4 linked regions of the Arabidopsis thaliana genome follow. The protein of the gene in region 1 interacts with the protein of each later gene in a biochemical or structural test. Each region holds a gene or a part of one and is shown in the gene's direction. Other genes may lie near its edges.

What was found.
Region 2: of the proteins of ATMPK8 (region 1) and TRY, one has a biochemical effect on the other in vitro, tested with the Arabidopsis thaliana proteins (one large-scale study listed by BioGRID).
Region 3: of the proteins of ATMPK8 (region 1) and TCP11, one has a biochemical effect on the other in vitro, tested with the Arabidopsis thaliana proteins (one large-scale study listed by BioGRID).
Region 4: of the proteins of ATMPK8 (region 1) and AGL75, one has a biochemical effect on the other in vitro, tested with the Arabidopsis thaliana proteins (one large-scale study listed by BioGRID).

The regions. Positions count from the first base shown.
Region 1 is NC_003070.9:6,242,698-6,251,696, reverse strand, and holds ATMPK8 (Protein kinase superfamily protein), read left to right. Parts: upstream 1-3,884; 5' UTR 3,885-4,031; exon of another isoform or gene 4,032-4,105; 5' UTR 4,106-4,114; coding exon 4,115-4,381; intron 4,382-4,608; coding exon 4,609-5,011; intron 5,012-5,103; coding exon 5,104-5,231; intron 5,232-5,333; coding exon 5,334-5,393; intron 5,394-5,551; coding exon 5,552-5,701; intron 5,702-5,813; coding exon 5,814-5,969; intron 5,970-6,060; coding exon 6,061-6,198; intron 6,199-6,312; coding exon 6,313-6,386; intron 6,387-6,473; coding exon 6,474-6,590; intron 6,591-6,680; coding exon 6,681-6,879; intron 6,880-6,978; coding exon 6,979-7,056; 3' UTR 7,057-7,399; downstream 7,400-8,999. Other genes in the region: AT1G18160 (Protein kinase superfamily protein), read right to left, coding at 1-804, 1,157-1,260, 1,486-1,926, 2,083-2,571. UniProt on the Arabidopsis thaliana protein: MKK3-MPK8 and CAMs-MPK8 modules negatively regulates ROS accumulation through controlling expression of the RBOHD gene during wounding.
Region 2 is NC_003076.8:21,579,377-21,586,484, forward strand, and holds TRY (Homeodomain-like superfamily protein), read left to right. Parts: upstream 1-3,237; 5' UTR 3,238-3,536; coding exon 3,537-3,600; intron 3,601-3,893; coding exon 3,894-3,981; intron 3,982-4,415; coding exon 4,416-4,584; 3' UTR 4,585-4,867; downstream 4,868-7,108. UniProt on the Arabidopsis thaliana protein: Transcription factor. Involved in epidermal cell fate specification. Negative regulator of trichome development, including endoreplication, by lateral inhibition involving intercellular interactions.
Region 3 is NC_003076.8:2,676,405-2,683,589, forward strand, and holds TCP11 (TCP family transcription factor), read left to right. Parts: upstream 1-3,996; 5' UTR 3,997-4,423; coding exon 4,424-5,143; 3' UTR 5,144-5,589; downstream 5,590-7,185. Other genes in the region: AT5G08315 (Defensin-like (DEFL) family protein), read right to left, coding at 116-176; AT5G08320 (E2F-associated phosphoprotein), read left to right, coding at 749-779, 1,191-1,356, 1,944-2,199; ATSTE14B (Isoprenylcysteine carboxyl methyltransferase (ICMT) family), read left to right, coding at 6,608-7,185. UniProt on the Arabidopsis thaliana protein: Transcription factor involved in the regulation of the circadian clock. Acts as a repressor of CCA1 by binding to its promoter. No binding to the LHY promoter.
Region 4 is NC_003076.8:16,487,354-16,493,866, forward strand, and holds AGL75 (AGAMOUS-like 75), read left to right. Parts: upstream 1-3,190; coding exon 3,191-4,183; downstream 4,184-6,513. Other genes in the region: AT5G41190 (RNA-binding NOB1-like protein), read right to left, coding at 275-424, 509-628, 871-1,039, 1,159-2,209, 2,341-2,659; GSTT1 (glutathione S-transferase THETA 1), read right to left, coding at 5,197-5,391, 5,495-5,700, 5,780-5,859, 5,928-5,981, 6,070-6,130, 6,291-6,364, 6,464-6,513. UniProt on the Arabidopsis thaliana protein: Probable transcription factor that may function in the maintenance of the proper function of the central cell in pollen tube attraction.

The DNA.
Region 1 (8,999 bases):
ACAGGAACATTTCTGGGATAGTCAGTAGATGTTTCAGAATGTGAGGAATCAGAGTGACCATCAATATTGCAATGTTCAGACAAATGACCGAGTCCAGATCCTGAATGTTCACGTAGGTCATGGGTAATTGCTTTAGATTGCGGTCTTGGAAGAGGAGGCAAAAACCTCACAGGGCCAAGGTTGCTCTGGTTTCTTCCTTGCTGGATTGTTCCAAAATCTTTCCCTTTCTCATCATTGGATTCAGCCACAGATTTGATTTCACCTGTTGCCTCCATTGACTCTGAATAGACTTCCGAAAATAAATTTCGAGGAGCTACAACTCCACTTTCAAGTAACACATCATGAAGCTTCTGAGCTAGTTGTGGATTCTCTTTGGCAGCATCAATCATATATTGTGAAACATCTTTGACTTTCATCCTGCGTCCAGCTGGAGAGCTAACACCTTCAGTCCACGAAGGTGATCTGGCATGAGTGAAAGAATGAGTAGGCTTGCTGGAAAGATGTTGAACAGGAGCCTTTTGACTTCCCACAGCTTCCCTAATATTTGGAATCATGAGATCCCCTCCACCTGCAGATTGGTTTTCCTCCCGGGAACCCTTGGTCCTAGAACGATGTTCCGCTGACCAAGATTCTGTGTGTTCTTCAATTGAGCTCTCGACCCCACTGCTGGAAGAAGCTACATGAGATGAATCAACATCTCTGGGACTGGCAGAGTAGACAGAATCATCAAAGTCCATTTGTAGTCCAGCTGCATCAGCGGGGATAAGCGTGCCTGGATCTCCCATGAGATCAACAATGTACTCCCTGAAATTCACATTTGGATTCGTTAAGGAAAATAATTTGCAACTGCAGACTGCAATAACAATAGAAAGAACCACTGTACAAAGCATGAAACATGCTTAATCGTACTTTCATTTCTAAAGAGTATTGTTGCTTAGACCAAAGAAAGTTACACTTTTATCAAGCCTCAGTATTTGCTCTAACCTTTTCAGAGATGTGAGTTAGCTATAAATAGCACACACACCCCAAGTCCATATGCACATAGTTTCATTTTTTACACGCACACATTTGGTGACAATATATATATATATTTTCTCTCCAAATGATAGAGAAATTGTTAAAATTACACAGCGATTGAATTTAATTTGAAAGTCACCTGCCATCATCAGTCTTAATGGAGTTCATTGCCACATCATCTGAACCGGTATATTGCTGTCCTTTGACTATTCGACAAGGAACGCCGACACTATCACACAAAACCTACAAAGTCTCATAAGAAAGAAGAAACAAAACACCACAAAGCGTTTAGAGGTGCCATACGCTTTGTATGTAATAAATATAGTCAGAGAAACAGGGGCAATTTTGAACACAATTTCAAACATTCACCAAACTGCAAGAAGCTTTAACAGTCATGCGATCACAAAAAATACCCCTCTTATGCTAATTTTCACAGAAAGCAAAAGTGAATGAGGGCATGGTACATACTTTGAATAACAAGGCACGATGACGAGCCAATCCAATAGTTAGAGAACCCAGGGGCAGAACCATGCTACGGAGGGTTGCTTTCAAGCTGTAGCTCAGACTCCACCAAGCTCTTAACGTGCTATCTGGATCCAAAACTGGTCCACCCATGTAATCAGCAACTAAAACTGCCAGTTGCCTTACCAATTCACTGTTCACAAACCCTGAAGAAGACGCTGACTTTGATTTTGCTGCAATATCAAGAGCCATTTGTTCAAGTCTCAACAGATTAGAATCTTTGCTGCTGTTCACTAGAACAGCATCCCAAGTTACACCATCTGACACAAGTGTCCCCTGAAGATCAACTAAGGGAGGTATTCTTTTTAAGGAAGATTCATTCATTACTCCACACAGGTCATAGAAACCATCCACAATCTTGTCATCATAGCCAAGACAGTTATAATTCTGCAAAATTCCAGATGATGTAAAATTGGTTAGAAGAGACAGAAAAGAGTTATAAACTTATAATCAACTTAACACATTTTGTTTCAAGCATAGTCTATTGTCGCTTAAGTGAATTGGAAATTTGTTTCTATGTCTAGCAATGAGTTAAAAACTCACCCAATATCTATATGCCATGAGTTCAGCTGGAGTATTCTCGGGAGCAGAAGGACGAGAACCTAAGCTGAACTGCTTCATAGCCTCAATCTGAGCAGCTTCAGGATCCTCCCTAGCACTTAACTCTAGAGCCAACTGTATCTGATATTCTTCTTCAACTTCTGGATCCTTGGAATTACTACTAGAACCCAAACCCTGCATCCCAGATTCCGACCCAACGGGACCACCATGTTCCATGGTAGTGTCATCCTCTTTGCTATTGGTGGCATTGGAAGAAGAAGGGCTTTTCCTGTGAGTAACAGAGCTTAACCAATTTGATAAACCCAAAAAGGGTTTGAATTCAGAGTTATCTTGAGACCTCAATGAATCAGAAGGAGATGGTTCTGCATCACTAGACTTATTGCTTCTGTTAGAGACTGAACCTTCACCATCGTCTCGTTGATTGGGCGTGATACGAAGCTTTTTGAGAAATTTCTTCATGTTCATCTTCATACTCCAAATGTTAGAGCAGCGAACATCGACCCGAAAACTCCTTCATCCCTCGAATACACAGAAAAACGAGAACTTTGTGCTAAAACCCTAATTCCTTGGTACCACGACCCGGAGATCTGGAACTCCGTCCAGATCAACGGCTCGTCAAAATCTAATAACTGCAGCAAAAGAATTCTCGAGAAAACCTTAAATCGGAATCCAAATCAAGTAGCAAGACTCTCAATGGAGATCAGATTTCGATTTCAAGAAAATACTTTTTTTTTTTATCTCCGGAGCTGATCAAAAACCCAATAAGAGAAAGTTTGGAGCTTTTTTCTCAGCAAGTAAGCGAAGCCTCTTCCTTCTCTTTGACTCTCTCCTGAATTGAGAAAGTCCACAAAGACGCCACTTTCTCTCTCTTAAAGTCCGACAAAAGAAAATCAACTAAAAAAAACTTACGTAAAACAGAGTAGAGTAGATAGATAGATACGAGTATAGTAGAGGATGAAGAGTGGATTTTTGAGCTGGAGAGAATTGAATTTTGTTTTGCTTTTTTTTGCTACTGTAATTAAAAAATTACTCTATTTTTTGTACAATCAGTCAAAGCTTAATGCAAATATAGAGCTATTTAAAAACTTACCAATTCATTTTTAATGCAAATATATCATGCAAAACCGTACATTTTGTTAAAAAAAATAAGAAATGATAAATCGCAGAATTGTTTACGATCGTGCTTTCCATATTCAATATTCCTTCGCGTATCTGGATTTGTTTGATATCATTTATTCAAATAAAATTTTGTCTTTTTGGCTGAAAAAATGCTTCGCTCACCACCTTATGCATTATCCTCCCATGACATATCACATATATCATCAAGCGTATTATTCACTAAAAAATGCTTAGATTACGCTACTGTCGGATTCATTTATGACCCAATAACTATGATGTGCTCGAACCGCAACAGACTCCTGGACCTGCTCAGCTCATGATGAAATATATGTTCATATCATCAACGCGACCGAACGAGCAAGGCGTTTTTACTCTCTCTTTTTTTGTGTCTCAGATTCATAATTAGACTTTTAATTCCGGTTTGTAATGTAACATCTAACATCTTCTTAATTTCGAACCTTGTCCGGTTGAGTTTAATCCGTTTAGTGATTGAACGAAAATACATTTATTGTATGGGCCGCTTTGTAGGCCCATATACTCAATAAATGCATATGCCCGAATCAGGTTATCATTAACCGGTATAGACAAACCGGGTCGTCGAAATATTCCAAAGGTTTAAATATTTTGTTCTTCTCCCTCCACTCACTCTCTCTAATAATCAAGCAGGGGAAAAAAATAAATATCTGAGCATAAATAATGAAAAAAACATAAAAAGAAAATTAAAAAAAAAATGAAAAAATAGGAGAAGAACATGGTCTCCAACTCCGAAGGACAAAACCGAGAGACGCGGCGAGAAAGACGGTGACTTGACGGTAATTGTTTGGCTCTCAAGGAATTTCGGATACCCAATTTTGTAAATTACTAATCTTTTTCTTTTCTAATCTAGTAGTGGTCTATGGGTGGTGGTGGGAATCTCGTCGACGGTGTTCGTCGATGGCTTTTTCAGCGACCTTCTTCTTCTTCTTCTTCTTCTTCTTCCAACAATAATAATAATAATCACGAACAACCCATTTTCAATTCTTCTTCTTTCTCTTCTTCCTCTAACCCCAATCATTCCGCTAACTCTGGAGAGCTTATTATTGAAGAAGATCTCGATTTCTCTGGTCTAACGCTTATTAACGTTCCTAAACGTAATCATTTACCTATGGATCCTCACAAGAAGGTACCTTTCTTCTTCTCCTTCTCTACCCTTTTATGCTATTTGCTCTTAGATGTTGTCTTTTGATTGAGATTGAAGAGACTTGTTTTGTTCTCTTAATGTTCTGTGTTATTGCATTTGCTTCCACAAAAGGATAAAGTTTCAGTTTTGTGTTTCGTTTGATTGATCTTATTGTCTTGATCCATCATTTTGGTCAATTTTAAGTATGAATCATGAATAAAATTCTTCAGGGTGAAACTGAATTCTTCACGGAGTATGGAGAAGCTAACAGGTATCAGATTCAAGAGGTTGTTGGCAAAGGAAGTTATGGTGTTGTGGCTTCTGCTGTTGACTCACACACTGGAGAGAGAGTTGCGATCAAGAAGATCAACGATGTGTTTGAGCATGTCTCCGATGCTACTAGGATTCTCAGAGAGATCAAATTGCTTCGGTTGCTTCGTCATCCTGATGTTGTGGAGATTAAACACATCATGTTACCTCCTTCTCGCAGAGAATTCCGCGATATTTATGTTGTCTTTGAGTTGATGGAATCTGATCTTCATCAAGTGATCAAGGCGAATGATGATTTGACTCCTGAGCATTATCAGTTTTTCTTGTACCAGCTTCTTCGTGGTCTGAAATATGTTCACGCAGGTTAGTTTCTGGTTTTACACATTGGTCTCTTTCGATCCTCATGATTTTTGTTATAGATAATATTGAAACACTTAAGGGTTCTCTGTTTTCAGCTAATGTGTTTCATCGGGATTTGAAACCGAAGAACATTCTAGCTAATGCTGATTGCAAATTGAAGATCTGTGATTTTGGGCTGGCTCGCGTTTCTTTTAACGATGCCCCAACCGCTATATTTTGGACTGTGAGTCATCTAACTCAATGTGAAAGCAAAACTGTTCATTAGGCTTCCTCTTAACTATTTTCAAATGCTTGTGAGCTCATTTCGTTTATATGGATTTTGTAGGATTATGTAGCTACTCGGTGGTATCGTGCCCCTGAACTCTGTGGATCGTTTTTCTCCAAAGTAAGATTCTTTTTCACCAAACCCAACTACTCTTGCTATTTCTCCCTACCAGGAAAATGCTTCTAGTTTTCTATTTTGTAGAATATTGTTGTGTGGTTCTATAGTGTTGTTGAGAAGACCAGCCATCTCAAGCTAAGTCTACTCTTGTTATATTTCAGTATACCCCTGCGATTGATATCTGGAGTGTCGGTTGCATTTTTGCGGAAATGCTTTTGGGTAAGCCTTTGTTTCCCGGGAAAAACGTTGTGCACCAATTGGATCTAATGACTGACTTTCTTGGTACTCCACCTCCTGAGTCAATATCAAGGGTTAGTCACTCAAAACACTTGTTCATATTTTCTGTAGCAAATTTAATGTTCCATACATCATTGAGAGTAATTTAATCCTTGTAATGAGCTTTGCAATCTTGGACTTCTACAGATTAGAAATGAAAAGGCGAGGAGATATCTTAGCAGCATGAGGAAAAAACAACCAGTCCCTTTCTCTCATAAATTCCCTAAAGCTGATCCTTTGGCTCTCCGCCTTCTGGAACGCCTGCTTGCCTTTGATCCGAAAGATCGTGCATCAGCTGAAGATGTAAGTGAGAAGTAAATTTGCTTTACTTTTCCCTTTTGTTTTATACAGAACGAAACTCTTATATTCGTCGTTTTTGATTTTCATATTACAGGCACTAGCTGATCCATATTTCAGTGGTTTGTCAAATTCAGAGCGTGAACCAACAACACAGCCAATTTCAAAGCTTGAATTTGACTTTGAGAGAAAGAAGTTAGTTAAAGATGATGTCAGAGAATTAATTTACCGAGAGGTAACAAACAAACACAAAAGCCTTCTACATATATCCTTTTCTTTAATCTGAATTTGTTTCAATGTTATTCATTGATCCTAACAATCACTTTTCTTTGGATTTTGTAAATATCAGATATTGGAATATCATCCTCAGATGTTGGAGGAATACCTTCGTGGTGGTGATCAGCTTAGCTTTATGTACCCAAGGTTAGCTAATTAACAGTTAACAGAAACTATAAGTCTTGAAAACAGAAAGTTATGAACTCGATAAATCTTTTTGTTGTTTACGCGCAGTGGGGTAGACCGATTTAAAAGGCAATTTGCTCATCTTGAAGAAAATCAAGGTAAACCAGGAGCAGCAGGAGGAGGAAGAAGTACTGCACTTCACAGACATCATGCTTCCTTGCCAAGGTAATGTCTTTCACAGAATCTCTCTATCTCTTCTCTTCTCTTCTCAATCTCCCTCTGAGAGCATTGTGCTTCTCTATGATGATGTTGCAGAGAGAGAGTTCCTGCTCCAAATGGTGAAACTGCAGAAGAAAGCAGTGATGTTGAGAGAAGAGCAGCAGCTGCTGTGGCTTCAACCTTGGAATCCGAGGAAGCAGACAATGGAGGAGGTTACAGTGCTCGTAACCTCATGAAGAGTGCAAGCATCAGCGGTTCTAAATGCATTGGTGTCCAATCTAAAACTGACAAAGAGGTTAGTTAGTAAAGAAAGAAAGAAAGAAAAACAGAAGATCTTGAAAAGGAACATGACGATGAAGTTTGCTTACTGTTGTTCTTTTCTCTTTGTTTGCAGGATACCATAGCTGAGGAAGAAGATAATGAAACAGTTGCAGAGCTTACTGATAAAGTTGCTTCTCTTCACAATTCTTAAAAATGATTTAGTTATTTTTTTTCTTTTCTTTTCTTTTTTCACGAAAGTTTTCTGGTGAAAAGAAATTGGTTTCTCCATTCATCCACATCTATCTTCGTGGTTGGGTTTGATTTGTTGTATTTAATAGTTTTGGGGGTTTGATGAAACTTTAAATAAAAACATCGATCTCCATGTAATTTTTTTGTTTCTCTCTTTTCTTTAAACACTCATATTTTGAAATTATTTATATACTATTCAGTATTCACTTTGCTTCAGTACTTTGGGAGAGTTTGTGTGATTGGTATGATCCGGTCCAGGTCAAACCGGGATATTGGGTCTTATATAATAAATTATATTAACCTGAAGAACATACTCGACTTCTTAAAAGTAAAAAAGATAAGACTAAAAAATTAGCACACATAATAATAATGCTGTGTTAGTTGGCTTTTTAATGACGAAGACTAACCTAATATCTATTATTTATATTCCATGGTCCATCTGAATTGATACCATTCTTGGACTAATCTCATAACGACAAAATAAAATAAATAAAACGACAAAAAGAAGAAGAAAAAAAATGAACAAAATCGGGTTTTTGAAAAAGAGGTCAGAAATAATGGTATGGTCGAGTAAAGTGAGCTCCAGGGAGCTTACTCACCAACTCCAAACTACAGTCTCGATAAGAAAAAGAAACTGCAAAAAGTTGATGTATATATGGCGAACAAAGTCCACAGACGCCAGATTGGTTAAAGCAATTAGGCTACACTGTTTTTACATTATTTAGTAGAAATACTAATTGAATTTGTGCATGTTTAAAAGTGAAAAAAAACTAACATTATACTAATGGATCATGCCGCCAAACTTTGGAATTTGACTTCAAATTATGACCACTACAAATATAAATTAAAGAAAAAGTTGGTTTCATGTAAACTATAGGATCGTAAAGGAAGATTGTCACAAAACTCTTGACTAATAAAATTGGAAGTTAAAATGTCCGAAGAAAAGTTATATTACAAGTCTTTTCTAATCGCCAGTGAAAAGAAAATCGGTTCAAACTACATATTTTTTGTTCTCATAAAACGGTTTGTGGTCTTAAACATGCTGAAGATTCACATCCATTTATAGTTTTATTTTCGACTCCTCTATATCATTGGAGCTCACACATTTTCTTTTTGTTTTCATAGGAATCATTTTGCATTTTAAATCCATGTTAAATTTTTGCAAAGCATCAGTTTATGAGTTGTGTTCTATTTACGAATGAAAAAGGAGACTTGCATTTGTAGTATGTAATTCATATATTTTTTATCAGGTTTAAAACAGTTTGCAATTTCGTCCTATTATTTGTTCTCTTCGATGGCTCGCACCAACCCATGCACAGATCACATCACTTTATCGACCATAAAGTTTCAATGATTTTCCTAATATAAGACTTTTTAAAAGTATTCCATCATACATCTATATATCACTAATGTGGACTTCAAATTTCCATATTATCAGTACGAAGATTTAATAAGCGGAATTAACTACAAAGCCTATAATTCCATTTATATAAACAACATGTTTTGATCTCTGGTTTAAGAAGAGATTATATACTTTCGTCCCATACTTTATTGTTACAGAAACAGATAATGTGAATTTTTTATATATATGGTAACCATAATGCACCAAACGGAAACTCTAACAAATTCTTTTAATAAAAAATTGTTTGCAGATGACGCTTGAACCCAATTATAATATAAGGGAATTTTGGGTTTATTTTCCGACTTTGTAAACACTTCTTAATCACAACAGAAAACGTTAAAAAAGAAAAGGACATTAATTTGGACATATATATCATACACGTTTTTCATGTGAAAGTTAAATTTACCCCACAAATCCTGAATAAATATCTACTAAAGTACACATAACTTTTTACGTAACCAATTTTACATGCATGTGTTTCTTTTTCAGAAGGATTATCAACC
Region 2 (7,108 bases), on another chromosome or scaffold:
CAAAGAATGAGATGGTCAAAGTTAACGAATGAATTAGTTGAAGTCTTAGTTTAGAAAGTCAGACGTTTACTCGAAACGTCGATATGCTACTATTTTAATTTTGTTATGTATATATCCATAATCATAATTTGTGAGATAAGCCGTATTTTTAGATTTTTTTTGTTCTCCCTCAAGTTTGTATCATTATATTACATAATAAAAAGCGAGAGGAGATAGTAAGGACTGAATCTAATACAGTACGTGTTAAGGACTGGCAAACTCTGACCAATCGAAGTTTGGTCTAGAATTTGTTTTCTATTTTTATAAGTTAATCAAAATTTATTAGATTATGTTACATTAATTCATGTGTTGAAAATTGACATACGTACATGCATTTTAAAAATATATTAAACTAAAAGTCAAATACTATCGATATTCAATCAATCAATCTCTTGACAACTAAACTTTATGTTGTTGAAAATTTTAAAATACATTAATGGATTCATTTTTTATTAGTATTTATTATAAATTTTAACTATGTCAAACTATGACAAATTATCAATATAAGAACAAAAACTCAATATATCAAATTCAAACATTCATACAAAAACAACAAAAAAAATTACCCTGGATGAAAACGTATCGATCCAAAAAACCAGAACAACTCACAAATACGATAGAACAAAATAGAAGAAGAAGGAATTTCACACCTCATTCGATTCGAGTCTAAAAGAAATAAACTACATCGTCTCCTCATTTCTCATAACTCTATGACCTATTAAATGTTAGTCAAATATAAATTTACTTCATATGTTGTTTGTGGATGGGGCTACTCACTCATATATAGTCATGTAGTGAAGAAACCTTATCATCTTCTAAAATATCACGTTTTCCATCTTGTTAAAAACCGCAAATACTCATATGTTGCATAAGAGTGTAAGCGGTTAAGTGAATATACTCAATTCGTATATAACGCTTTTCCAACTGAAAGCAGCAGAAACATTCATTGGACCACCTTAAATGTTGTCAACAATGTTGTTAACCAATCAAAACATCTACAGTTCAACAAGTTTTATTATTTGATTCGAGCTTTTACTTTGTGGGGTTTAAATTAATATTTTAATGACCCAGGTTTAATAAAATATAAAATACTCCTATATACATGCATGTATGGGGGCACTCGTATAATATGTGTAATCATTCGATACGTTACAAATAAATATATGTTTATTTAGGCCTAAGAATGTTAGTTGAATTGATCTACCAACAGCTGCAACCATGTTTCAAATCGGTTCAATATTTCTTTTCTTTCTCTTATAACTTTCTTATTAACTACAAAAATATTCCTTAATAGCAGTTCTTTTACGAGTAATCTATCTTCTTTTCTTGTGTAATATCAAATTTATTGTTCAACCAAAAAGAATAATTTGTACAAGAGTTTTAATTTTAATTAAAGTGGAAAGAGAAATGGATAGTGATTGCTATTATGAAAAATCTTTCTAGGAGGCAACATGTCACATCTTTGTTGTTGTTGATATAATCAAATAATAGAAAAGGTAATCACATCTTTGTCCTTTTGTACCAGAATTTTAGACATTAGTTTAGCTATGCAAACCAATTTCGTTCTTTTAGCTCCAAACTAAAGACACATTTTCATTGATGCATTCTTCGATATCGAATTGATTTGTTTATCAAAAGTTTATGAAAATCATTTATATTGCTATATTGTATTTAAGCTTCGAGTAAAGAGATATTTTACCAACTAGGCTTCCTATTAAAAAAATTCCAAATCTATCACATAATACACAGTTTCTATGCAATGAGGATGATGCGATATACATCACATGACTCGCCTCACACGATGTCTTTCGCCGTAGACTACAGATTTCTTCCGTTTAATCTTTTATCCAATTATGAATTATCTGGTAGGGTACTTTATATTTTGAAAATCTCTTTCGTGAGAATATGATAGTAATTGTATACTTTCTTACAAAATTTATTGAGAAGCGTACTTTATATATGATGTTTCTCACTCGAATTAAATACGTTAGTTTAATGGGTCGATTCAGATTTATAATAGATTTAAATATTTCGAAGAAAACGCAAATCAGGGATTTTGGTTGTATCATGTGTGAGAGATTGAATTTCTCCAGAAGCACTCATTAAATCGCGTGTGTAAGGAGTTGCCATACAGCGTCGTATGTAATGTCTTAGTCACTGTTCTAGAATTAAAACATATGTCAAATGTAGAATTAAAAAACAGGGGTTAAAATGTTAAATTATTCGGAGAAGTGGAATTATTATATTAAAAACATTGTGTGATTTTGGGATAAAATCTGAATCATGTTTTTTATTGTGCCAAAAAATTTCTGTTTCAACCTCTTCGTGGAGATGAAAGAAAAGTCAATCGGGAATGAGACTTCTTGTATAACGAATGAAAATATGAACATGTTGATTAATGAATTAATTAACATACGTACTATATTAAGTGGGAATATTAGGTATAGGCCTTCGATTTTCCGTTTTGTTTGGTTTTTTCGATTTTAATAATATTTCTCTAAATTAAAATAAATTTTAGTTTGGTTTATTTAAAATATTAATAAAATAATATAAATAACTATCTAATTAATATATTAAAAAGTATTTTCTATATATATTGATATAAATATTATTCCCATGTTTTATATTGGGTGACGTTATCTTTTAAGTAAAGTTGTAAGATATCTAACTTATTCCTACATTATAATAACTATCAAAATAAAATAACTAATTGTAGTGACAATGATGACTATCAAAATATGTATGTGTTTTGGCTCAAACATAGCGTTTAATAACAAACACAATGGACAATTTTAATAAATTTGATCGATTAGATTTTGTTTCATTTTCATGCACTAGATTAAGGTTCGAATTAGATTCATTTTAGTGTATATAGTGAAACTAATTTGTTACTATATGGAAAAAAAAATAAGTTTATTTTTGGTTCAAGAATTTTTATTCGGTACGGTTTGGTGTGTATGTCCAACCCTGAAAAAAAAACTTGAAAAACTAATAACCTAATAACAACTAATTTTCTTAGAAATACAAATTGGACTTGAATACAAAAATGGAAAGAACAACAACAAATCAATAACTAAAACATCGTTGAACTTGCATCTGCCAAATAAAAATCAATAAATCCCATTATTCTAAAAAGATAGTAGGTTTAGAAAAATTGAATAAATGGAAAAAAAAAATTGTTAGGATCTACGAATGAGAACAAAGTTAGCCTTCAAAATACTTACAAATCCCAATAAAAGACTTCATCTCCATGTGTATTTGAGTGTCAACGACAAGTCTACACAAAGGGTAAGAGGTCAACAAGACCACACAACACTTCTTACTATTAGTTTTGCAAAGGCCGTTCGTTGGACATTTCCTTCTCTCTCCTCCCCTCTTCTTCTTCTTGTTCGCTCTATAAACTCTCATCTCTCACGTCTTTTTTTCCTTACATTCTCCAAACTCAAAATTTCATCACATTAATTTCTCTCTATTTTTCTTTTCTTACTTCAATAGTAATGGATAACACTGACCGTCGTCGCCGTCGTAAGCAACACAAAATCGCCCTCCATGACTCTGAAGGTACCTCTCTATTCTCTATATATTTTCTATTTCCTAAATCCAATTTTATTAAACATCTTGAAAATAAATTTAGTTCCTAGCTAGGATCATATTCTCTTTGTATATATTCGTTAAAACGAGGGATACGTTTAATTACTTCTAAATTAGTTACACCTCGTGCTGACTAAAAGACTTATCAAGATTAGTTTCTAGTTTTAACAAAAATTAATATCTTTTTAAAAAGTTTATATTTGTCTTTTTTTGTTAGTTTAATATTGTTTTGAGTTTAATTGGTTTAATATTGTTATTTGCAGAAGTGAGCAGTATCGAATGGGAGTTTATCAACATGACTGAACAAGAAGAAGATCTCATCTTTCGAATGTACAGACTTGTCGGTGATAGGTAACAATTTCTTCTTCTTCTACTTTTTCTAAGATTATCCCAGCATAAAATAAATTTTATATTTTAGACATGTCTAGCTAAAACAATTTAATATGCAGGTATATACAATTTTACATACGTTAATTTAAGCATATGTACTTTATAACATATGTACAGTGTACCATGTTGTAGGGGAAGCACATGGTGTCCACTAATTTTCTAAAAAAAGACATTTAATTAAAGCTATCACGTTCATTAAATTATATATGTACACACATATATATAGAGATAAAAATAAGAACCTAATTTACTATTCTTATCAGTACGTACTCATGTATATAAATGCTTGGCTGGCTCAAAAATGGAAATTTTTGAACTGACAAATTATATTTTATTATGAAAATATAAATGCTAATGCTTGGGATAAAAATGTTTTTTTTTTTCTTTTGAATTAGGTGGGATTTGATAGCAGGAAGAGTTCCTGGAAGACAACCAGAGGAGATAGAGAGATATTGGATAATGAGAAACAGTGAAGGCTTTGCTGATAAACGACGCCAGCTTCACTCATCTTCCCACAAACATACCAAGCCTCACCGTCCTCGCTTTTCTATCTATCCTTCCTAGTGTTTTTGTTTTTAAGCCAACGAAAAAAGAAAATAAAAAAATTATAATAGATGTATAGTAGTGGTTCTTGTTAGTTTGAAGAATTCATCATCTATTGTTTTCTTTTTGTTGTTATTTCATTTATAATTTTTATAGTATAGGTTTCATTTGGTAATCAACTTTAATCCATGCGGTTAGGTTTTTTTATTTTCTCGTCTACGACTTTTATATCCACAACTAGATTTTAATCCGCGGTATATCGCGGTATAATTTACTTTTTAAAGTTAATATATATTAAAACTTGCAAATTTTATTTTTATAAAATATTTTTATTTTACAGTTTATAATTGTTATTAAGTAACGCTATACAACGAATCCATGAGACAATTGTTAAAAAACTGAAGTTTTAACCCTTACTAAAACAGCATATTAATAATATTTTAAAAATTTATAAATATTGATTCAAATACATCCACCATATAACTCAATTCCAAAATAAAATCTGTTCTGTAATTTCTTTACCCATCCCGTGATTTATTTTTAAAGTAGTAATTTTAAAAATTTGAGAATTATTTATTACATATAAAAGTTTTACAAATTGTATCATTCTCTAATACATTTATATTTTATAGTTTAATTTTATATATAGTAACATTTTATATTTTATATTCTCTAATATATTTTATATTCTCTAATACATCAGTAATTAGAAAGTAAAAAAAATTGTGTATTAGATTTAGTCCTTTGAAAGAACTTATCAAGAGGAAACTGATCATTTGTGCAAAAATGGTTGGGTAATATTTTAACTAATGACAATAATTTTAAATAGTAAAAAAAAAAAAAGAAATACTCCATTAGTTATAGTTGACTAGTATATTTTGAAGAAACTACTTAAAAAAATTATTACAGAATTAATGACATAATGTATCTATACTTTAAAAAAAATGTAACTAAAATAAAAACCCCGATCCAATTCTAACCAAAAGTTATGAACACTTATTTTCACAATCACTTAAATATTAGGTGTTACATGCTTGCACTAGCTATATATATGTAGGACTATGAAGTATGAAGTATGAACTTAATTTTTCTATAAACGTTTTAAGAAATAAAGAATCTATATATAGTATTGCCTTTCATACAAAAAATTATCAGTTTGAAAACTTTCTACCAACACGATAAAAAGTACTATATGAGATCATCCTAAACGTCTATTTAAAAAACGTGATTCTCATTGGTAAACGACTAATGAACGGACGGTTTGCGTCTAAAACTAACTTTTCATGGACAGGATTTAACGGATAGAATTTTCCATTATATGATTTTCATGATTACGAACCAAACGATTCAATTCTTCAGCTATATGTCGTTTCACATAAACTCACAAATCACAATCTTAGTTAAAGCTTTTAGGCCCAATAGTGTCCCAATTATTTTAGCCCATTATTTAACAAGGTACGACAGATTATCAACGTCACTCGACCAATACAAGTAAAGGTAAAACTATGGGCCGATAAAAAATGCCCAATTTCAGTTTTTACAGCCCAGTTGTAAGTTCACCAGTAGTGGATACACTGCGTTAGGACTATCCATTTCAGAGAATGTATTGATAATTCGGATATCTACAAAGTGACGGAAAAAAAAAAAAAATCGGATATCTACAAACTACAATTTGAATAGCTAGGGATATTCACCACCATCAGTTTTGGGGTTTGGTTGATCTCTAAACCAGCCACACGAAGTTTCACAGTCAAAAGTTTTAAACCCAACAATATGTTGATGTTGAACATGGATGATTCGATGTTGCATCTAAATGTTGAGATTGGATGCAACATCTACAAAAAAATATGAGCATGGCTATAATTTTATTATAAGCTTAGTTTGTGTAAAATCCGAATTTATTGTGGTTTAAGTTGCATATTCCAAATTAGTTTGTGCACAGACTTGCCTTGCATAGTTGCATAACAACAATTAAACATTTTCTCACATCCCAAACATGATGTAAAATATGATTCTACTGATAAAATGTGAAACGAGACATTTAAATTAGTTCTTACACAAATATATATATATATACAATATAAATGTGTATATATTTACATAATTCTTTTTTTGAGACAAAATAATCCATACTTTCACCCAAAAAGAACATCTTTTAAGAGTTTATAAAAGGTACAATCATTTTAGTTTTTTTTTTTTTTTAACATCCACTCTTTTGATTTTCAGAACATTTGCTGCGGCATGTAGAATCATTCTTTCTATTTACAAAAAAATATATCCCTTAACATTTTGTGTTGCAAGAAGAATATTATTCATGAGATCACTCATACACTATTGTTCATTCATATGCAATTACAGCTACAATGCTTGATGTAATGACAGAAATAAAATTACATGGTAGGAGTACGTCTAAATTCTAAAATTTAAAAGAAAGTAAACATGACGATGGCTGTTATGAAGCTGATAATCTTTAAAACTCACTTATACCTATATTAGTTATAATTAATCAATATTTGATTAAAACTTTAGATAACAATTTTATTTT
Region 3 (7,185 bases), on another chromosome or scaffold:
TGAATTCATGGAATTTTGTAATTAAAGTAATAAGTTTGTATTGAAACACAAAAATAAGTTTGTTAGAGTGTAAAAACTTGAGAAAATACCCCTAATTATAAGAGAGAATACGTACCAATAAGTGAGAAAGTGAGAATAAGGAGCAAAGCAAAGGAAAAAACTTTCAAACCAGCCATTGTTAATAGTTTTTTTTTTTTTTATAAGTGTTTATAGATGATTGTGAAAGTGATGATTTTATTATAATACAATGAGATGTTTATATACACGTAGAGGTAACTAATCACAATTAATGTAAATATATGAATATACATAATTAGAGGATTGATATATTCAAGGATATGAATGTATTCTTTGATTGATTGTGAAGATACGATGGTATCCGTTTAAACTTGTTTTTGGTAATTCTATGGTAACGTTTTATTTAGTCTATTGGAAAATTCAAACCCCTTCATGCTCTGTTGTACAGACAACTTCTTCTTGTTGCAAATAACAAAACACCTTAAAGGCTAAAATTAAATACTGATTTTTACGAAATGGGCTTCTTAATTTCTTAAGGCCCATATATCTTTCCATCTGAACAATTTGTAAGCCCAATTAGAAGCCACTGTAAGTTATATAAAACGAAGTTTGTCATCGTCTTCGTCGGTGAACCTCCGATTTGACTGCACCGTCGGAGCTCGACGCTGAGCTAAGCTTAACCAAGAGCTGTCGTATATTACACTAGCAGTGAAGATCGAATCTTAAAACCATGGCTTCTCCGACCAATTCACAGAAAACAGGTAAAATAAAACCTTTAATACGCTCAAACCCTTTCACTCGCTGGCCGATTCGACTCAATCCCTTTGTTGTTTCGTTCCTTCATCCATGGATTTCTCATAGGTTTCGGTTAATATGATCTCTCTTTTGCTTTTTTTGTCATCCATCGTATTGAGACCTTGAGCTATTTAGTATTTAGCTAAGTTTCTGAATCTTTATGGTGTAATTGATGTTGCTATTCGTAAGCTAATTGATGCCATAGATTGCGAAAAGAGAAGTTGTTTCTTCAGTATTCAAGAGATTTGTGTTCTTGTGTTCAAGTTTAGATTTCAAGTTATTTTGTAATAATGTGGAATCAGAAGGACAAGTATGTCTATTTTCTGTATATTGATTTGATGAGGCCTAACTTCTTCTTGTCTACTACCTTGTAACAGTTTCGGATGACGAGGAAGTTGATTACTCCATCAAACCGGAGTTCTATGATTCAGATATTGATGATAAAGATGAGCTTTGGATGGATAAGAAGAGAGATGGTCGTACTTCTGATGCTCTTCTTAGCTGTCCAGCTTGTTTCACCACTGTCTGCTTAGAGTGTCAGAGGTATTTTCCTCTCTCAACATCAGAACTTGGTGTTTTATCTTCATACGATTGTTATATCCCATCCAGGCTTTGCTTTCTCAATGTTGCTAGGGCTCCATTGTTCAATCCTCACCAATGTGTTTGCTAATATATTGATAGTAACTTGCTAGATTCTGGAATGTTGACTTGATTATGAGATTCTTGACAATTGTTACAGGCTCTAGGTTTTTGTTAGGAATGACAATCTTGGTAGAATCCAAACCAGTTATATGACTTGATTAACGAGAAAAATTTCTACTCTCAGTCCAATTCCCAATCCCAAAACCCATAGGTAAATCCAGAACTACCTTTTCTAGCTGCTAGCTCTGTAGCTAACTAACTCAAAGATTGCTGATACAACTACTATCCACTACACACCGCCTAGGCTATTACAACACTCATGCGATAGACTAATATAAGGACTTTATCACAATGGATTTCTTTCTTTCCTCTTCAATCCGATGATATTGTTTTGTTTATGACTTGATCCCTTTGCACTTCTTTGAACTTGGTTTTAGTATTATAAACTGCGGAACCAAATTAAGACAATCTGAGTAAAACTTTTGCAGGCACGAGCAGTATGTGACACAGTACAGAGCAGTCTTTGTGGTCAATTGCAAAGTAGGTACAGACACAGTTTTGCAACAGAATACAATGCCCTTAAAGGTTGGTAAAAGAAGGAGAGATTCCGAGATGCAAGAAACTGGTTCTGAAGATAGCGAAAAAGTTAACCCGGTCTTTTGCTCAGCTTGTTCCACAGAGATCGGAGTAGTTGACAGTGAAGAGATCTACCATTTCTTTAATGTCATTCCAAGCGAGCCTTAAAACAACCTGGTTTTATGAGTTATTTGTAACGAGTTCTAAACAGGTGATTAGGATTAAAGTTTCGATTGTTTGCGTTAATCTTTACGTTGCATGTATATCGTTTGATAAAAATCAAGTCACTAGAGAATTTTGAGTTATACCAAAGTCAGAATCGTTCACAGTTCACATGATTAGTAATTTAGTATCAAACAAATACCAAATACAACAAACTACAAAGCGAGTTGGTCTCTGAACGTCTTTTAGTCACGCTAGTCAAATAGATGGCAGAAGATAAAGCGATCCTCTCAGTTTAAAAAAACGAGATGACGTGGATTATTCTGATTGGTGGAGTAAGCTAAGAAAATCTAGAGAGGCATCGCCAAATGAGAAAACTAGAAAAGAAGATATTTGTATGAAACACGAGTTGATTCTCTTTTGACAGAAGTGTCACTTTCTTGTATTTTCGTCCACCAACCCCCATACTAATAATTCTATACAAATTCCCATTAATAAATAAAGGCAGATGAGAATGGGCTCCAGCTGTTTAACACATTTGACAATTGTCAAATGATTCGTACACATATTACTATTTTAAAATAAAATAAAAAGATTAGAATATACTATAAGCATTTTTGGTAAATTGGTGATCATTAAAAATTTCTATGCATTTATCCAGCTAACCCCACAACTAATCATTCAAATCCCAGTTAATCACTCAATATAACTTTTAACATGCGCCGGTCATTAATAATTGTCAATTGTATCATACAATTTGTATGTAAGCTTTTGTGGCAACGTTTTCTTTTAAGAACTAGCTAGTTCAATTGAATCCTAGCAAGTAGCTACGAAATGTGACTAAAATTTCTCTACGAGTCTCTAGTTTGGTGGTTCCTCAGCTGTGCGTCGTAGTTTCAAGTTTTTACTATCTATCATACTTTAAGCATGCACAAAAATATTCTTTTCATCGCTTTTGATAGCACCTTCACGTATTATATCGACAACTTTAAGAAGTTGGCTTGGGTATAGTTTTTAAAAAAAGGCATTTAAACATCACTCATGGTTGTATCGTATGGGTACGGCAATCATCATAACAATTATTTCTGTTAAAGGATTTCACAATCATATAACAAATATTAAGACGATAATATAGTATAATGTGCATTATATATTCATCATGAAAGAAATTATTGTCGCGAAACAATTTAAAAAATCTCGACGCAACGACATATCAAAATCGGCATATCTGCCAGGTGGGCACGGCTACTTTTATTATGCCACGCTCCAAATGGAATGATTTGTTTTATTATTGCTTAATGGGTAATAAGAATTTTGATTATACAAATTGCACACACGAACGCATATCGTGTGGGGGTCACAGTGGTTGGGTTATACTCAGATTAGTAACCTGTGTCATAAAGCGCGTAATTGTCATTTCTTTTATTTGAGCTATTTATTTATCCTAGAAGTTAAATAAAAAATAAAAAATAAGAGACAATCACAAATTAGTAGATGTGAAATTATAAATGACTAAAAATAAATAAATTAAAATCGTACAAAATAGAATCGTAATCAGTGTAGGTGTAAAGTATACTCACCAATCAATTACCACCATTGATTGTCTCTTATTCCTCATCTTTTCAACTATTGTGGAAACTGGAAACAGCTTTTGTCTTAATTGCAATCTAATTTCCCTACATCCTATAAAATGCATTAAACTCATGAGGTAAACGTGTATGATTACTGTGGTTACAAAGCATAAAACATATACTACTTCATTCTAAAACAAATTTTATCGATAAGAAATAAAGGTAAAAATCAGCATTGTTGTGGTTACATGTCACAGAAGTAATAAGAATTAGTAAAAACCAAAATCGAATTCATATTATTCTTGTAACGCTACTTATTTTCTACGAATCCTAATTACTCGTAAATTAGCTAATGTAATTCAAGCAACCATATAAATGGGGACCCCAACTAACTCCTAAACCTAAAAACTTAAATTCTCCTGCCCGACCGTGGTCCAACGCTATAGTCAACACCGGAGTCAAGCGCGTGAGCTTCAACCGCGTCCGGACAAATTAAAAAAACCTAGCAGAAGTGAGCTGTGTGGGACCCCACCAGCCATGTGCTCTCCTTCCTGTCTCCACCAGCCTAGCTTCCTCTCAAATCATTACCTCCTTCTTCTTCTTCTTCTTCTTCTTCTCCTCGAGAGAGAGTTAGATAGTGATAACGAAATCCTAATTCCATGGCCGACAACGACGGAGCAGTGAGTAACGGCATCATAGTCGAGCAGACGTCAAACAAAGGACCTCTTAACGCCGTTAAGAAACCACCGTCTAAAGATCGACACAGCAAAGTTGACGGAAGAGGAAGAAGGATTCGTATGCCAATCATTTGCGCAGCTCGAGTTTTTCAATTGACCAGAGAGTTAGGTCACAAGTCCGATGGTCAAACCATAGAGTGGCTTCTCCGTCAAGCTGAGCCTTCTATCATAGCCGCCACTGGAACTGGCACTACTCCGGCGAGTTTCTCCACTGCTTCTCTCTCCACTTCTTCTCCGTTTACTCTCGGGAAACGTGTCGTCAGAGCGGAGGAAGGAGAATCCGGCGGCGGAGGAGGAGGAGGGTTAACAGTGGGACACACAATGGGGACTTCGTTAATGGGTGGTGGTGGTTCTGGTGGGTTTTGGGCTGTTCCGGCGAGGCCGGATTTCGGACAAGTCTGGAGCTTTGCAACCGGAGCTCCACCGGAAATGGTTTTTGCGCAGCAGCAGCAACCAGCTACACTCTTCGTCCGCCACCAGCAGCAACAGCAAGCTTCCGCCGCCGCAGCAGCTGCAATGGGTGAGGCTTCAGCAGCTAGAGTTGGGAATTATCTTCCGGGTCATCATCTCAATTTGCTTGCTTCTTTGTCTGGTGGAGCTAACGGGTCGGGTCGGAGGGAAGACGACCACGAACCACGTTGAGAAATGGTATTGTCTTTTTGGTAATGTATAGAAAAATTCCTATGTTTTATGTCATCGAAAGTGTTTAGAAAGTACCTCTAATTTGCGGTTTCTTTTGCTCCTTTTTTACTTAATTTAAGCTTATTGCTTGTTTGATTAGGGTTTTAGGGTTTAAGAATATTTGGTCTCGTTAATTTGTTTCGGAGAGTGATAGAAAGAGAGAGAGATTGATTGATTGTTGTACCTAAAACGCTATAAAAGCTCTGTTTTTACTAGCGAAACAGAGAAGTCGTTTAACTAGTGATCATTGCCATTCAATCAAGTCTCTTTAGAAAACTAAAGAAACAGCAAAAGAAACAAATTTGAAGTTGTCCCGTTAGTTTTAAGCATGAATTCTATTATGGTTCGTTCGTTAATGAAGTTGTCCCACTATTTACTCTTTCGTAGTAAAGGAAACAAATTTGAACTCGGGTTAACGGAGCCGGTCCGGATGATAATTCAGGTTCCACCAAAAACTTTTAAAACTAATAACAAGCCCATCCACTATCCAGAGCAGTATAATCGTAAGCTTCAAACACAAAAGAAATACTTCAATTTAACTCATCGTTATCAGTTATAACCGGAACAAACCGATAGGGGACCATTGGATCAAACCGTCTCGAACCGGTAACCCTAAAATAGTCTGGTTCTTGAAATTTCGGTGATCCTGCAACGTTTCTTCTCATCGATTTTGACCGGAAGCTCCTTGATTCAAACAAGACTTTTCTTATCGGGGAAGATCAGACGGAACAGAAGAGATCTCTGTGTTTACAAAAGTAATTCCTTGATTATAGCAAGCAAAGAATAAAGGGTAAAGGTGTAGACTTTGCTTCTCTCCTTCAAAGTCCACGCGATTCTCACTGTCAGCCTCTGCGAAATTTCCAGTCTTTCTCGCATTTTCCCTCGTAGCAGCCGTCAATTTCAACTGGGTATGTCTTAGATCTTCGTAGCGTTTACGGTTCCTGCTCAATTCTTCGTTTCTCGTGGTTTGACAGTTGAGTTACAGAAAACGAGGACGAAAAGCCTAATTGAAGAAATTAGTGATTAGAATTTTGTGATTCCGTGAAATTTTAGTATTAGTAAGTATAGACAGAATAGAAAAAAATCCCGTACTATTCATCAGCTATACATATCTGTTTGTAATTCTTTGAGTAAGATCTTCAATTCTCATGTGAAAACTGTGTTTTGAATGCTTGTCATAGATCAATTGTTGGATTAAGAAACATTGTAGTTTAGTGTTAGAAGAACATTAATGTGAGATTTGTTACATTGATTGACATTAGTGTTCCTGTGATTTGGTTTTAAAAAATCTTTGGTGAAGTGAGTTGGATTGGATTTTACTTGAATGCTTGTTGTTTCCCATCTTTTGGCTAATGATGTTCTTTGACCTTCTCGGGTCTGTTACTCGCATGTTTTTTCAGGTCTAAGTAATCTTGTGAAGACTCAATGACAGAGATATTTAGTGACACCGGGTTCAGACAGTTAACTCAAATGTTCCTGGCGATAATCTTCTTCCACACATCGGAGTACATTCTCGCCATAGCCATTCACGGAGCATCGAAAGTAACTTTAAGCTCACTCTTAATCAGCAAACACTATGCTTTAGCAATGCTAATATCAGTCCTCGAGTACATAGCCGAGATTGTTTTCTTCCCGGGGCTGAAACAACACTGGTGGATCAGCAATTTCGGTCTTACAATGATCATACTTGGAGAAATCCTTCGCAAAACCGCGATAATCACAGCAGGTAGATCGTTCACACACCTTATAAAAATTCGCCGGGAGGAGCATCATAAGCTTGTGACAGAAGGAGTGTATCAAATCATGAGGCATCCGAGTTACTCCGGGTTTCTCATTTGGTCTGTGGGAACGCAAGTAATGCTCTGTAATCCAATTTCAGCGATTGCGTTTGCGGTTGTGGTGTGGCGGTTCTTTGCAGAGAGAATACCTTATGAGGAGCATTACTTGAAGCAATTTTTTGGGAGACAGTATGTGGAGTATGCGCAGAGAGTTCCTTCTGGTGT
Region 4 (6,513 bases), on another chromosome or scaffold:
CTATTGTTAATACCAATAAACTGGAGGTGTAATCTTGTATACCAAGTTCTTGACGAATGAAATTGTGTTGAGCCAAAAAAGAAAAAAATGACAGGTAGCTTGAAACTAGAGGAATACATCTGTGAACCGAATAAAAAGTTATAAACTCTCACCTTTTCAAACTAGTTTTGGACTTCAAACAACAATCAGAAAGAAAAAGTAAAAGTACAAAAAAGAGACAAAATCGTTGGCATCTGAAGTACAGGAGATGTTTGTTGTGTAGGAGAAACAAAGATCAGTGCATAGAACGAGAGTAATGGTTGTCATTAGGGTTTCTTTTCTGGCTGAAAACCGACATAGCTTTTCTCACAGGAGGCTGCAATGGCGCCTTTCTATCACTATGATGGTTCAAGAACACATCATCTGATACGAAGTACTCATCACCCTGCAAACAACAGCATAATTTACCTTAAGATTTCAATCAAAGTTACAGATTTGAGTTTGAGATAGAAGACACGAAGAGACTAACCGGTTTGCTTGCTTTCTTCTTGGTCCTAGGGTGGAGAAGCTTTTGAGGGAGTTGATCTTCCCGTAGAATCAGATTCTTGGTGATTGCCTCTCTTCCTCCTTTAGGCATTGGTATCGAATACTGCACAGAAAGAAAAGACACATGTATCAGGAGAAGTTTTTATCTGTGTATTAGGTTGCAGATTTTAAAGGAAACAAGGGTTTAAGTTTAAAGGCAGTAACAAATGACAAATTGATCATATACATGCCGGAAAACATGGTGGTTCTGTTCTCATGCTATTTCAAATAAAGAATACAAGATTCTTCACTAATACAGGAATTTTTGGTGTTTTGGTTAGCTTCTGCTTATAACAAGTTACTTACTTGGGTCCCTCGAAGTGTAATTCGTGGTTTACATGCAGCTATGATGGCGCCATTCGCGCCTATTGTAACCGCTACCTTGCGTAGAGTGCCACCATTCCCACATTTGGGACAGAAGATTCTTCCAATTTCAGGAGTTACTGTGTAGCAAGCATGGCATTTTAAGATCCACCTGAAGATGTCAATGCAATAAAGTGTAAGAATTGTATCTTTTTCAGTTAATGACCCTTGCTAAAGAAAAGTGTCTGACATTTGAACAAAAAAAAGGAAGATCTGATCAATTTAGAGTACCTATGCAGTTGGCGAATTTGCATTCCGCCGGGTGCAAGCAATCGCAAACCCATTTGAAGAATAACATTCTGCATTGCATAGTCACCAGTTATACAAGCTACACTGGACTCAGATAAAGCTCTCAATGACCAACTCTGCTCGCTGCTACCATCATCTCCAATCGATGATGCCTCGAAGGTATCCTCAGCCTCACTAGCAATCTCCAAGTTCTCTAGCGCTTGATTTGCAACATCGATCCCCTCAGCTTCGACTTCAATATCATGATCAATATCATCCTCACCATTGATCAAAGTTGCTTCAGCATTCGTCTCTTCAGTCTCTTCTTGGAGAGCCCTTAATGACTCTTCCTCCAACCTCATATCTTTAAGGATGGAAGATATATCCTCACCATTCTTTCCACTATCTTTTGCGTGGGTTTCATTGGCCTCTTTAGTGTGTCGAGCTTTGTCAGCTTCTTGATCTTTCTGAATTTCTTGTTCAGCCAAAGCATTGTAATGTTCCCACCTTGCCTTTCTTCTAAGATACTTTGAGTGAGTACTTCTACTGACTGCGGGTCTCCAATCACTAGCATCATCATCATCATCATATTGCCCCTGGGATGCATCAACTCCCTCCACTACCATCTTACCCTCAAGCTTAATCTCTGTTTTCTTGGGCGGGTATCGCCTATGCTTCTTCCCACCTTCCTGCACATCCTCTTCATGATTCTCAGTATGAGAGACAACAGAACCAACCTCAGAAACATTGTCTGAAGCAATAATATTCATGTTAAGGTCTTTCAATGGAAGGATTTTGGAGTTAGCGTTGGATTTTTCCTCAGTCTCGTTTTCAAGTGCCTCCCACTCCTCCAAGTTAGCCACATTGGAGCCCCAACCAGGTAAATCCTTCTCAGGTAATCTCTTAACTCTAACAGTTTGAATCGGTGGAGGAACATCTCTAAGATTTTTGGTGCCATAAACCTGAGCCTCAAGCGTGTATGACAAAGCAATCAACTTCAGATCAACATCAGACAGAGATTGCAAATCACCAGTAGCTCTTGCAAATTTGATAACTGCAGAACCAAAAACAATCAATCTCAGAGATACAATACAATCTTTTCTCCAACACAAGAATATACAAATACCTACTTAGGTACAAATTTCACAATCACAAGAATAAGAATCACAAAACTAATAAGTGTACCTTTACTTAGAGATTCAGGAGAAGGTTCCATGGTATCAATAGTGAAAGGGATGAAAGCGAGACGACGGCGAGAAGCAGGGTCACGAATCTCAGAGAGAACCTCAGGGACAGTTACGAATTTGTCGGCGAAGTTTGTTAAGCTCTGACGTCCTTCAATGATGGCGTTGGCGTCAACAACCGCAATAGATATTCCTTTTGTGGATTTGCAGTTTCCGACCATCCCGAGAATCGCTGCCGGAGCTCCGTCGTTAACCGGAGGCTTTGAAGGTGGATCTTTCTTCACAATTGAGCTCCACATCGAGGTTGGTTTCGGATCCATGGTTTTCGTTATTTGCCGCTTCAAATGTGGGTGGGTTTAACGAAGAGACTGAGAGATGGAGAGAAGAAGAAGAGTGTAAACAAAAACCTAGGTCAGATCCGAGACGACGTCGCTTTTTGTCCATAATTTTAAATGGGCCTCACAAGGCCCAAATAATTGCGTAGATGTATAAAATACTATCTGATTAGAGCTAGAATTTGAAGACTAGTATTAACCAAACCAAACTAGATCATATCAAGGGTTAATGATATCAAATTATAGTTGTGTTTCCTTTTTATCAACCCTTAACGGCTCTAGAACGTAAAATCTATGGAAATCGAATCTATGCAAATATATGGAAATCGAAACGAATCTATCTATGCACACATCTTTACGCGTTTTTTTATCACCGATCATCTATAAATATATCTAATTCTTTCTAACTATTTCATAGTTCATCATCTTTTTCACAAAGCCAAAGTTTGTCTTCGTGCTTTCTCTTAACTTTGAGCGTGAAAAAACACAGAGTTTGTCTTTGCAATCAACAAGAAGATGACTATGCGATCATCTTCACCTTCGTCCTCTTCTTCTTATTCACTCGCTTTCACAAGTTTGAGCAATAGGCTTGAGACCATCTTCAAGAAAGCTTCAGAGCTTTGCACTCTTTGTGATATCGAAGCCTGCGTTATCTATTACGGACCAGACGGAGAACTTAAGACATGGCCTAAGGAGAAAGAGAAAGTGAGAGACATTGCTCTTAGGTATAGTCTATTGAACGAAGCATTGAGACGCAAGAAAAGCGTTAATCTTCATGGGTTCCTGAACAAGAAGAAGAACAAGGGTTTGAAGAATCCGAACAAGAAGATGAAGACGAGTCTTAAGAACGTGAATATTTTAAAGTATCCACTCGCTGATCATTACCCTCCCGACCAAGTTTCTCCACTGATTCAGTCCTTGGAACTCCATGTCTCTAAATTCCAAGAAAGGCTTCGATTTCTTGAGTCGCAGAAACAGAATCAGACAAAACCGGATCATCAGAGTTTAACACCATCCTCTCTGAATCATTACACCCAATCTTTGAACCCTAGCCAGTTCTCGCTGTTTATGTATAACCATGGAGACAATACTCTGTCTCAGATCCCAGTCTCTGCATCAAATTTCAATCAGGATTATTTCTCAGCGTTACTTGAAGAATCTGAGTTGAAGAATCAGTTAATGAAGCCGGAGATTTGTGGTTATGATCAGAATCAGAACATGAGCATGGGTGACATCACAAACAACAAATTTCAAGATCCTTGCGTCTCAAACAAAGAAGCGGTACAAGAATCTGTCAACAACTTTGGGTTGAATCAATTGATGTACAAGGAGTTTTATGGTTGTGATCAAAACATGTCTATGGGTAACATCAATAGCAACAGCTTTCAAAATCCTTGCGTCTCAAACACACAACATTACTCGGCGGTAGAAGAATCTGTGAAGAACCCCTGGTTGAATCAGTTAATGCAGAATGAACTTTACGGTTACGGTTATGCAGGCTTTTGTTAAATTCTTATGATTTATTAAGAACATCTTGAATCAATTTGATGTGTTGTTGTTGATCTGTATTCAGCTATTGTAATAAATTTGAATCATCATCCCTAGAAACATTAATTACTAAAAGCCAATTTTATCTATTTCTGATTGCTCTCTATCATAATAAAGCCAAATTTCCAATAGACTCTCAACAGAGCAATAACCGTGGCTGAGTTCTGATTCCTCCACTTTGTCTTTGTCTTTTCTATTCACAGATATAACATCCTCTCTTTTCAAACCTGTTTCAGTGATTCTCTGTTCTAAGAAATAATAATCATCGCATGTTTATTAAACGGAACAACATAAGCATTACAGTTTCAGTAAACATGAGAACAGTGTGTGGGGGTGGGGTGGGGGGGGGGGTGGGGGTGGTGTTTGGACACTAATGTTTGCAAGCTTAAAGATAAATTGTGCAGGTGACTCTTCACACTACTGTTATTTTTTGTCTTGTGATGATGATTCCTTCCCTACCATAATGTCTGCACTCTGCAGCAACTTCCCTCTCCTCTTGACCTTTATCTTGTGATAGTCCCTCCCCTTCCATTATGTCAGCTGCAGTTTCCCACCCCTCTTGGCCTCTATCTCCTGATGGTTCCATAAGTTTCCATACTTCCATTATATTTCCACCTTGCTTTCCTTTGAGTTTTAGCAGTGCAGCTACCCACTTTTCTCGACCTTTACCAGCTAAAAACGATCCTAACAGTCTAAGGCCCAAAGGAAGTAAGCCAGTGAGATGGACAGCACAAACTGCGAGCTGGTTCAACTATAATTTACATATAAATCTAAACCTTCATGTTGTGATGTTCAAAATGCTCGGGTTCGGTAAAAACCTTTGATAAAGTGATTATTACATATAGTTCAAAAAACAAGTGATTATTACATTCCTTATTTTTCTTACAATGGAGAATAGGAGATAATCGGCTTTTCTTCAACGAACCAGTGACTGACCCCTGAAACCGGTTTTGCCAAAGTTTTGTTCTAAGTTCTTAGATCTTGGATTGAAGACCCGGTTTAGATAAGGTTCCCATCTCTCGCCGCTTCTGGAATCCTTCTTTGACTTTGAAAAGGATCTCATGGGTCTCATCAAAGTGAGGCATTGTTGCTTTTTTCGTATTCTCAATCCATTGTTCAACTTTCTTATGAGTGCTGAGCAATCTAAGACGATCTTTGTCATCCAAAACCTACAAAATTGCATAAATTTTACAATCAAAAGCCAAAACATAGCAAGGATTGGTATTTCGATGAATTAAAAAAACGCACAAAACAGTGAAATTAAGTGAGTACCTGCAGCTGCATAAGTTCGCATACAAGGCTGAGATCAGCTATAGATGGTTGGTTGCTTCCGAGCAAGAATTTAGCATTGCCCTTAAGCCAAAAAGTCTCTAGAGTGGACAGAGACTTTGTTAGTAACTGCTCAGCTTCAGCAGCTGCTTTCGGATTCAGAGGAAGACCGAGAGCTGGACCTAGTACACTATTCAGAACATATCCAGCTGCAACAGTAAAAACAACCGTAATCAGAACTATTTGACTCTATAACTTCTCAACATCGATGAATATAATGTACAATACCTGCACCACGACGTAAATTGGTGTGATGCCAATCCAAAACTGAGTGAATCTTGGCTCTTTTGGATAGATCATTTGGATACCTAAAAGTAAACAAATGAACATCAAAGCAAAATGATTACACTTTGTGTCAAACGAAGTAGAAACTTACCAATGATCAGCAACACTTGGAAACGCCGAGGATAGATATATCAGGATTGCGTGACTACGAAAAGAATCAACGGTTAAGATTCATAAAAAATGGTCAATAAACCAAAGCAAGAACCCAAAAGAGAATGAACTTTTGTGTTAACCTCTCAAAGAGCTTAAGCCTGCCATCAACAATAGCTGGAACTTTCCCCAATGGGTTAATATCTGAAGAACAAGACACATTTCTTAACAATATTTACATTAAGAAACAACACTAAGCATATATAGCCTTAGTCTACACTAATCTACACTAATGATCTCATATACACTAAACATAAATCTACCAATACTCAGATTTGAAACTTTGTTGATTATTTGTACGAACCTTTGAATTCAGGAGATAATTGTTGACGCTTCGCCAAGGAAATCAAGACCTCATCGAATTGGATTCCATTAACCCTGCAAAGGATAAAATCCAAACAAAACAAAGATTCTCATGTATTAGAGAAAACAAAATTGGCTGAATCTGGAATTAACAAGGAAGTTCAACGAAATTACTTGCAGAATATGATAACAGCACGTGATGGCTGTGACATTCGATCTGCATA